Linked DNA regions of Macaca mulatta. The protein of the gene in region 2 interacts with the protein of the main gene of each other region in a pairwise test. Links are inferred from orthologs where the notes say so. Each region holds a gene or a part of one and is shown on either strand. Other genes may lie near its edges.

Region 1 (3,991 bases), on a different chromosome or scaffold from region 2:
CTTGCCTCTCCTCAGTGGCTAGGGATGCCCTGAGCCATGCTTCACTGCGGGCATGTGACAAATTCAGGCTCTGGCAGGAAGAAGCGATTGTAAGCCGGGTGCGGTGGCTCACACCTGTAATCCCAGCACTTTGGGAGGCCGAGGCGGGCGGACCACGAGGTCAGGAGTTCCAGACCAGCCTGGCCAACATGGTGAAACCCTGTCTCTACTAAAAATACAAAATATTAGCTGGGCATGGTGCTGGGTGCCTATAATCCTAGCTACTTGGGAGGCTGAGGCAGGAGAATCACTTGAAGCCGGGAGGAAGAAGTTGCAGTGAGCCGAGATCTCGTCACTGTACTCCAGTCTGGGCAACAGAGTGAGACTCTGTCTCAAAAAAAAAAAAAAAAAGGAAGAAGCCATTGTGATTGTACCAGCCAAACATGGGCCTCCCAACCTGGCCGGGAAGTGTGGCACACTCAGCTCATGGACAGAGCAGCCACTTGTACCGCTGCATTCCCTTCCACACAGAGCTTCAAGACTGTGTTTTCTTCTCAGGTCCTTACAATCAGGAACATGGGGGAAAGTCACCATTTTCTACCCCCTGCTTGCCTCCATCTTCCCAGTGAGTCTTAAATCCCTTGTCCTTGAATTCTCTGCCTCCCGTACAAATTTGCCTTCCCTCCTCCGACTCCAGGGCCTCTCTAGAAAGGGCCACTCTAAGTCAGACCCTCTCCAGAACTTAGGTCCTTGCTTTGTAACTTACTATGTCACCAGGCAAGTCACTCTGTCTTTCCGTAGCTCAGTTTTCTCATCTGTAAAATGGGAACAATATCCCTACTTCATTTTATTTTTTATTTTTTAAATTTTAATTTAATTTTATTTTTATTTATTTATTTGTTTTGAGACGGAGTCTCGCTCTATTGCCCAGGCTGGAGTGCAGTGGCGCCGTCTCGGCTCACTGCAACCTCTGCCTCCCAGGTTCAGTGATCCTCCTGCCTCAGCCTCCCAAGTAGCTGGGACTACAGGTATGCATCACCATGGCTGGCTAATTTTTGTATTTTTAGTAGAGACAGGGTTTCACCATGTTGGCCAGGTTGGTCCTGAACTCCTGACCTCAAATGAGTTGGCCTCCCAAAGTGCTAGGATTACAGGCGTGAGCCACTGTGCCTGGCCCAGTATCCTTACTTCATAGAGTTGTTGTAAGAATGAAAAGAGAGGCCAGGTGTAGTGGCTCACGCCTAATCGCAGCACTTTGGGAGGCCTAGGCGGGCGGATCATGAGGTCAAGAGATCGAGACCATCCTGGCCAACATGGTGAAACCTTGTCTCTACTAAAAATACAAAAATTAGCTGGGCACAGTGGTGCGTGCCTGTAATCCCAGCTACTTGGGAGGCTGAGGCAGGAGAATCGCTTGAGCCCGGGAGGCGGAGGTTGCAGTGAGTGAACTGAGAGTGTGCCACTGCACTCCAGCCTGGCAACAGAGCTAGACTCCATCTCAAAAAAAAGAAAAAAGAAAAGAGATACTATGTGAAAGGGTGACAGTGATTGTCACATTGCGTGAAGTGTTAAATATTGTATGTGTGCGCACACAAATAGACAAATGAAATGCATCTGACCCACCCCTTAACATGTTTCAGAACTATCTTGCTCAGCCACCCACCTCTGTACGCAGACAGCACTGAGATCTAATTAATACACATTTCAGTCCAAGATGATGTCATTTTCTCTGAAAAACAAATAAGCCTTGCTGCAAAATAGTTGTTCCTACTGCTTCTTGGTTTGGGTTTTCTAACTCCCCAGTGTCATAAAACTTATCTCCATGGGTGCTGTGAAGCTTTCCAAGTGAATTAATTGGAGTTTATTTATTAAAAAACAACAACAACATTTTCAGACGAGAATGGAAGAGGCTGATGCAGAGTGAAAAACAGAGTTAGATAACCCAGTTCTCCAAAGACGGGGGATCTTGGAGAGAGGTGTGATCCTTCCTTCCTTCCTTTCTCCCCTCTCTCCCTCTCTCCCTCTCTCTGTCCACCCCTCTTTCCCCCACAATTCTTTTCCTTTTAATGACAGCAGCAACTACTCAGAGACTCCTAATCCCTTTTGCAGAGGACAGAAATGTTTAGAAAACTCCACTCTGGGTTGGCAGTTCCCCAAAGGGAAGATCTCTTTCTGGAATATTCTTCTGTGCCCAGAATGAGAGACCTTGTCTTGGGTTGGGTTTCTTTTGGGGTCATGAGTCCCTGCAGCTCCCCTTCCAGTGACTTCAGCTGTCAGCATGGAGTGGAGACCCCAGACTTGGAGGCTGCACCAAGTTCTCGGCATCTTGGGGTGTGTCCAGGTCTGGGAGGAGGGCCTCATTATTCCTATGCTGGATGCACTCATCTTTATGAGGTGTCCTCCACCCCTCCCTCCAGCCTATTCCATTCCCTGGGATTCTGAGGGTTGCTGGATATGGAAGATGGGACCCTTTTTATGCTTCCTCACAGCCTGGGGCTCTCTCCAAGTTCCCAAGATGAACTTGCTCACCAGACCCAGTTTTCTGAGACTCAGCATGCCCAGGTCCTCCCAGCGGCTACAGAGCAGACACGGGCAGCTCACCCCTTCTTCTGAGCAAAACTGGGTGGTCCTGAGAGTTCCTAAGTCCAGGAGGGAGGGAAGGGACTCTGAGCACTCACCGGAGCTGCAGTAGAGAGCCAGCGTGACCAGGGGGAGGGTGACAGCAAGTTTCATGGTGGAGGCGGGGGATGCTCTGGCCCATCAATGATTCCGTCTCTGAGACTGGTGGGCTAGTAGGAGACATGCCCAGCAAGGTGCTTTTTATATGCTCCAGGCGGCAGCGCCCAGATGGGGAAGGGTAGGGCAAGGGCTCTACGTAAGATACCGCACTATTTGCTTGGGCATTGGCTCGGCGGAATAGGTAAATATTCCCGTTTCTCAACTCAGTTTCTGTCCCCATTGAAACTGAGCTCACACAATGGGCCCCTTGGGGGTGGAGTGCCGAGCCATGCCTGAAGGCAGTGAAGGGAACCCATGTCAGAGGATGGGGAAACCCAGCTGCCTGTGTCAGTCACTGAACCTGGGCACTGGGGCAGTCCAGGTCAAGAGAAGCAATTGTGGAGCCCACCTGGAGAAACTGAGGCCCAAGGTCCCTCCCAAGTGGCAGGGAGAGGACTAGGACTAGGACTTAGGATGCTGACACTCCACTGGGCTCTTTCATAGGCTCCCCTCTGAGGAGGGCGACTGAACCTTAAGCCAGGAAAGTGACATGGTTCGGAGCATTGCCGTGGTCAGACTTGGGGGGGCCCTGGACTGTTGAACAAAAGGGACCCTTCCAGAATTCCCATCAGAAACCCGAGCCCTGCCACAGGCTGGGTCTGTTCCCACCCAGAAGTGCTCTCAAGTCCTGTGCTCCTGATGGGCCAACTGGCAGGACCTTCAGTCCTTATCTCACTTGACCTCCCAACGGCCTTGACACCTGCGACCGCTTCCTTCTCGAACCATTCTCTCTCCTGCGCTCCCACGCCTCAGTTCTTTCCTGTTTTCCTTCTCTGGCTATTCCTTCTTGTTCTCTTTAGATGTTTATGCTTTACTGTTCTTGAGTGTTGATGGTTCCCAGGCTTTGGCCTTCTCCCCTTTCTTGCCTCCAGTTGCCATTTCCTGGTTCTTCTCCAAAGCCCGGGCTTCATAGCACCTAGCCTGGCCTAGTCAAAATCCCCTGACTCAACCTCCCTGCTTCCCAGCTTGCTTTCCTCAGCCATCCTCGGAAAGGCCATCGGAATGATTTTCCTAAAGCCCATTGGTCATGTCCTTCTTGAAACCCTTAAACTCTTCCTTTTGCCTATAGAATAAAATTCAAGTGCAATTTACAAGGCCCTTGCCCACTGGCCTTTGCCTACCATTTGAACTTCACTTCTCCTCTCCCCGACACAGCGACTTAGCCCTCTCTTACTATTTGTGGATTCGAGAATGTTCCATGTTTTTTCATGTCTTTCTACCTATGCACAAGCTA
Region 2 (4,155 bases):
CCCTAGAGACTATCCAAGTTTGCTGACTATATCAGCATTTGTTTGCTTATTCCTAGCTTCCTATGCTTTGGCATAATTCCAATCCATATTATGCTTCTTTAAAAGGCAAGCAATTTCCAGGCTGAAGTCGTCAATACCAACCAACTAGGGTCAATCCATTCTGTCACATCTGCAGTTCTCAATCCAAGATGGCACAGATCCTCCAGGCGAGAGGTACTGCTTCCTAAAGGGCCTGTGTATCCCCTTTGGTAGCACTAAATGAATGAGCTTTCACACTGGTAAAGACGATCAGACTGAGACATAATGTTACAGGAATATGTCTGAAATGTCACTGAAAGGTGGAGCATATCCCACTGAAGCATGCACAGTGAATCCAATCAGAGTTGAAGAGAAAGTGTCACAGATGAAGCACATTGTAATAGGAAGGAAACAATGGATCAAGGGCATCAGAGCCAAACGGGAAAAAATCAAGGATTTAATACAAGGGCACATTTCAAACATGGCACAAAGGGCTAAAGTGGCTCTCTCTACTAAAGCCTTGGAAGTGCCTAATTGCTAATCAAACTTCAGCTAACACCATTGCGTGTCCTATTTGGGCAGTGCATCTTTTAAAGCTCTAAATTTAGGTGGGAAGTGGGGAGGGGAAAATAACAAATAAAAAACATAAAAAGATGGAGCTTCTAAAGTTCTAGAACTACCCAGCTGGAATCAGGACATATGCCGAGTCTATTCTCTATGTGCCACTAACAACCAAGAACTATGGGAAGGGAAGCTGGCTTGGGAGCAGAAGAAAATGATATTTCTCATCCCCTATGGGGTGGAGTATCTTCTCAGATGGTAGCTGTAGATCTTGATGCAATGATCCCAACAGTCCAAGACCAGCAGCTGCCCCTTAGGAGTGAGGGCTATGCCCACCGGACAAGTAAGTCCCTCTCGAATAAGGACACTATAGCCCCCACCCTTAGGAAAATGGAGAATTTCCTTGCGACTACTGTCAGCCACAATGAGATCACCACGAGCATCCACACACATGCCAGCAATGCAGCGGAAATCCTCATTCTCCGAGAAGAAGTGGCTAATCTGGCGACCCAGCTGCCCATCGGGACCTACAGAACCAATGGAAAAGCCACCTTCCAGGTGGTGCTCATTCTGTCGATTCTCCAGATTGAGGCCTAAGCCCTGGGTGAAGTAGACGGTGCCCTCAGCATCACAGGTGACAAATTTGGGCCGCACAGCACTGCACAGGCAGCTGTATTTGACCACCCCTGATCCTCGATCAACTGTGAAACACCAAAGCTTTCCACCTTCCACATCAGTTACTACAAACTGGCCAGATGGCAGGGCTGTGATACCCCATGGTTTGCTCAGCTGGCTCCTGTGACAGGCCACACAGTGGCCATCCAAGGTATATACCTTGAGGGAGTTATCATAGCTGTCAGTCACACCAATCAGCCCCTGGCAGTTCATTGCCACTGAGAGAGGAGTGAGGTTGGGTAGATCCGCCCCAAGAAAGCTTAGCACAAAGCTATCAATGCCACTGGGGCTGCGGCGGATTTCCTTCAAAAAGCCTTTGCGGGTAAAGACTTGTATACGATAGTTACCACGGTCAGCAACTAGCACTTCACCTTGACTGGTCACGTAGAGACTGACTGGTAGATTGAACATTCCTGGAGTGCTGCCTTTGGCCCCCATCTTCTTGAGAAAGAGGCACTGCTGGATATTGGAGGCTGCCTCAGGACCCCGCTGTTTAGCAGGTGAGGCCCTAGGGCTGGCAACCACTTCCTCCGGGCTCATGTCCATCTCTCTAAATGTAACAGAGGTAGAAGCAGCAGAGGCTGCCGCCTCCATGGCCCAGGAATCTTCCATGTTAACTGTCCGGGGCTTCTTAACAGCTTGCCCAATTTGGAGGGGGCCAACATGACCTACCTTAAGGAGCTCCACATCTTGCAGGGTGAGCTCCCGAGGTAAGCTGGCAGTAAGCTCTGGCTCCTCCTCATCAGCTGTCTCCTCCAGGAGTGCTACATCTGCTTGCTTGATCTTGGCCAGGAAGTAGTCACAGCGAGACACAGCCTGCACCTCTGCAATGTTAAGAAGGTAACTCTGCTCCTCTACCACTTGACTATTGGACTTCTCAACTTCAGCCAAAGAGCCTGTGAAGAATTTCCGAGAGCGAGCCAGCTCATCCTGGACCCTGCGTTCCTCGTGTCCATACTCCTGGAGAACTGCTTTATACCTTGCCTGAAGGTCCTTGGAGACACCTTCCAAGGCTACCTTCCGCCGCTGCAGCTCCCCCATAAGTTCCCGCAGACGAGTCAACTTCTCTCCAAAGTCCCGACGCCGCTCCTCAGCGGCTTCTTTGACAGGGAGTGTACAGTGGCCAGGAGGCTGATGGTCTGCCTCCCGGCAGGGCTCACATAACACCAAACCACAGCTCCGGCAGAACTGCCGGGGCAGACGCCGCCCACAGGACCGACACATGAGCAGCCCCACAGCCTCGCTGAGCCCAGCTGTATCAATGATCTTTAGCACTGTCAGATTGTCTGTCAGCTGGGTCAAGCTGGTTATGCGGGTAATCTTGCTGCAAAAGGGACAGCGGACACCATTGATGCTACTGGCCAATAGCTTCTCCAGGCACTGGCGGCAGATGGTATGGCCACAGTGCAGGAGCTTGGGACGCAGCTGCTCTTCTGTGAAGGACTCCATGCAGATGGGGCATTCTAGCACTTCCCGGAGGGCATCCAGGTTCAGGTGAGAAGCTGCTGCTGCAGCCATTGCTATTCCTTTGAAGGGTACTGCTAGCACAGCTCAGAACTGAACAGCACAGTATTCATGCCCTAGAGGGTAAAATTCCTGCTAAAGAGAAAAAGAAACCATTATTCATTTTCCTCTGATTATATAAATCAATTCACTCAAGAAACATTTAGAGAATAGCTATGATCAGTCGTTCAGTCATTCACTTACTTAACTATTTTATTGAGGTCTATTATGTGTCATGTGAGGGTGACAGGGAAACAAACAAGACAAAACACTGCATAGAGGGTAATAATTCAGATTCTGGAATCTCAGACACTTACTTAGTTGCATGACCATAAGGAAGTAACTCAAACTTCCAAAAGCTCTTTCCCCATCACTCATCTGTAAAATAGAAAAATGGTGTCTACCTTATTCTATTATTGTAGAACAATCTATTATTGTAGAATAATGGTTATTGTAAGGGCTAAATAACAAGATAAATATGATGTGCTTAGTATATAGCACCAGGGAAGTAGTATACTTTAATAAATGCTAATGATTACTTTCATATTTGGTGAGTTTTACAACTTACAGTTTACACTAACAGAAAAGCACAGGAGAATTACGCACAGTAAAAGGAGTAAGTGTGACATGCAGGTCCACATAATGTTCTGCTGGAGTACAGTGGATGGAATGATAGATTCCACCTAACAGACTTGGGGAAGGCTTCCCAAAAGCAGTTTCACTCCTAAGATAAAGAAATGAAGGACTGAGGGATAAAGGTACTTTAAGCAAAGAAAACCATGTAAGCAAAAGTGTGGAGGCTGTTTTTTTTTTTTTCATCATGTCATAGAGTTTACTGTGTCATGTTTGGGGCCCTAGGAATCATCCACAGACTTAGAAAATTGTGATGATTAGCTTTAGGTAATCTGCAAAACATTAGATCAGAAAATACACATTTTCCATGCATCTATCCTCCTACCTACTCATCTATCCACCCATCTAAGTTTAGGTATCTTGTTCTGTACTAGATACAAGAGGTCTTCAGGATACAGATCCTGCTCTTCAGATATTCAAACTTTATAAAAGACAAGACATGTAGGCAAATAATAATGAAGGCAGAAAGTAGTACTATAAATGAAATAAAAACTAAGTTTGATGGGGGTTGAGGAGTCATTCTAATTTGAAGGGACACAGAATTTTCAAAAGGAAGATGACATTTTATATTGGCCTGGAAAGAAGCATAAACACACGGAGAGGGAAGAAAGGAGGCGGCAAAAGGCACAACCTTAACAAAGTTTAAAAGGCAAAGGAAAGGACAAGAAGTTTCATGTATTAGGAAGAAAACAGAGAATATTTAAAATCTATGCATTTTATTTTCTCCATCTTTAAAATAATAATTTTTAAAATAATAAAGACAGT

The links.
Region 1: the proteins of TRIM32 (region 2) and SCGB1A1 interact in binary tests that used the Homo sapiens proteins (3 or more experiments, as listed by UniProt). The two-hybrid records come from large-scale screens. The link is inferred for Macaca mulatta from reciprocal best matches to the Homo sapiens genes TRIM32 and SCGB1A1.

The regions. Positions count from the first base shown.
Region 1 is NC_133419.1:11,645,674-11,649,664, forward strand, and holds the start of SCGB1A1 (uteroglobin), read right to left. Parts: upstream 2,822-3,991; 5' UTR 2,713-2,821; coding exon 2,658-2,712; intron 1-2,657. UniProt on the Homo sapiens protein: Binds phosphatidylcholine, phosphatidylinositol, polychlorinated biphenyls (PCB) and weakly progesterone, potent inhibitor of phospholipase A2.
Region 2 is NC_133420.1:41,594,628-41,598,782, forward strand, and holds the start of TRIM32 (E3 ubiquitin-protein ligase TRIM32), read right to left. Parts: upstream 2,854-4,155; 5' UTR 2,773-2,853; coding exon 811-2,772; 3' UTR 1-810. UniProt on the Homo sapiens protein: E3 ubiquitin ligase that plays a role in various biological processes including neural stem cell differentiation, innate immunity, inflammatory resonse and autophagy.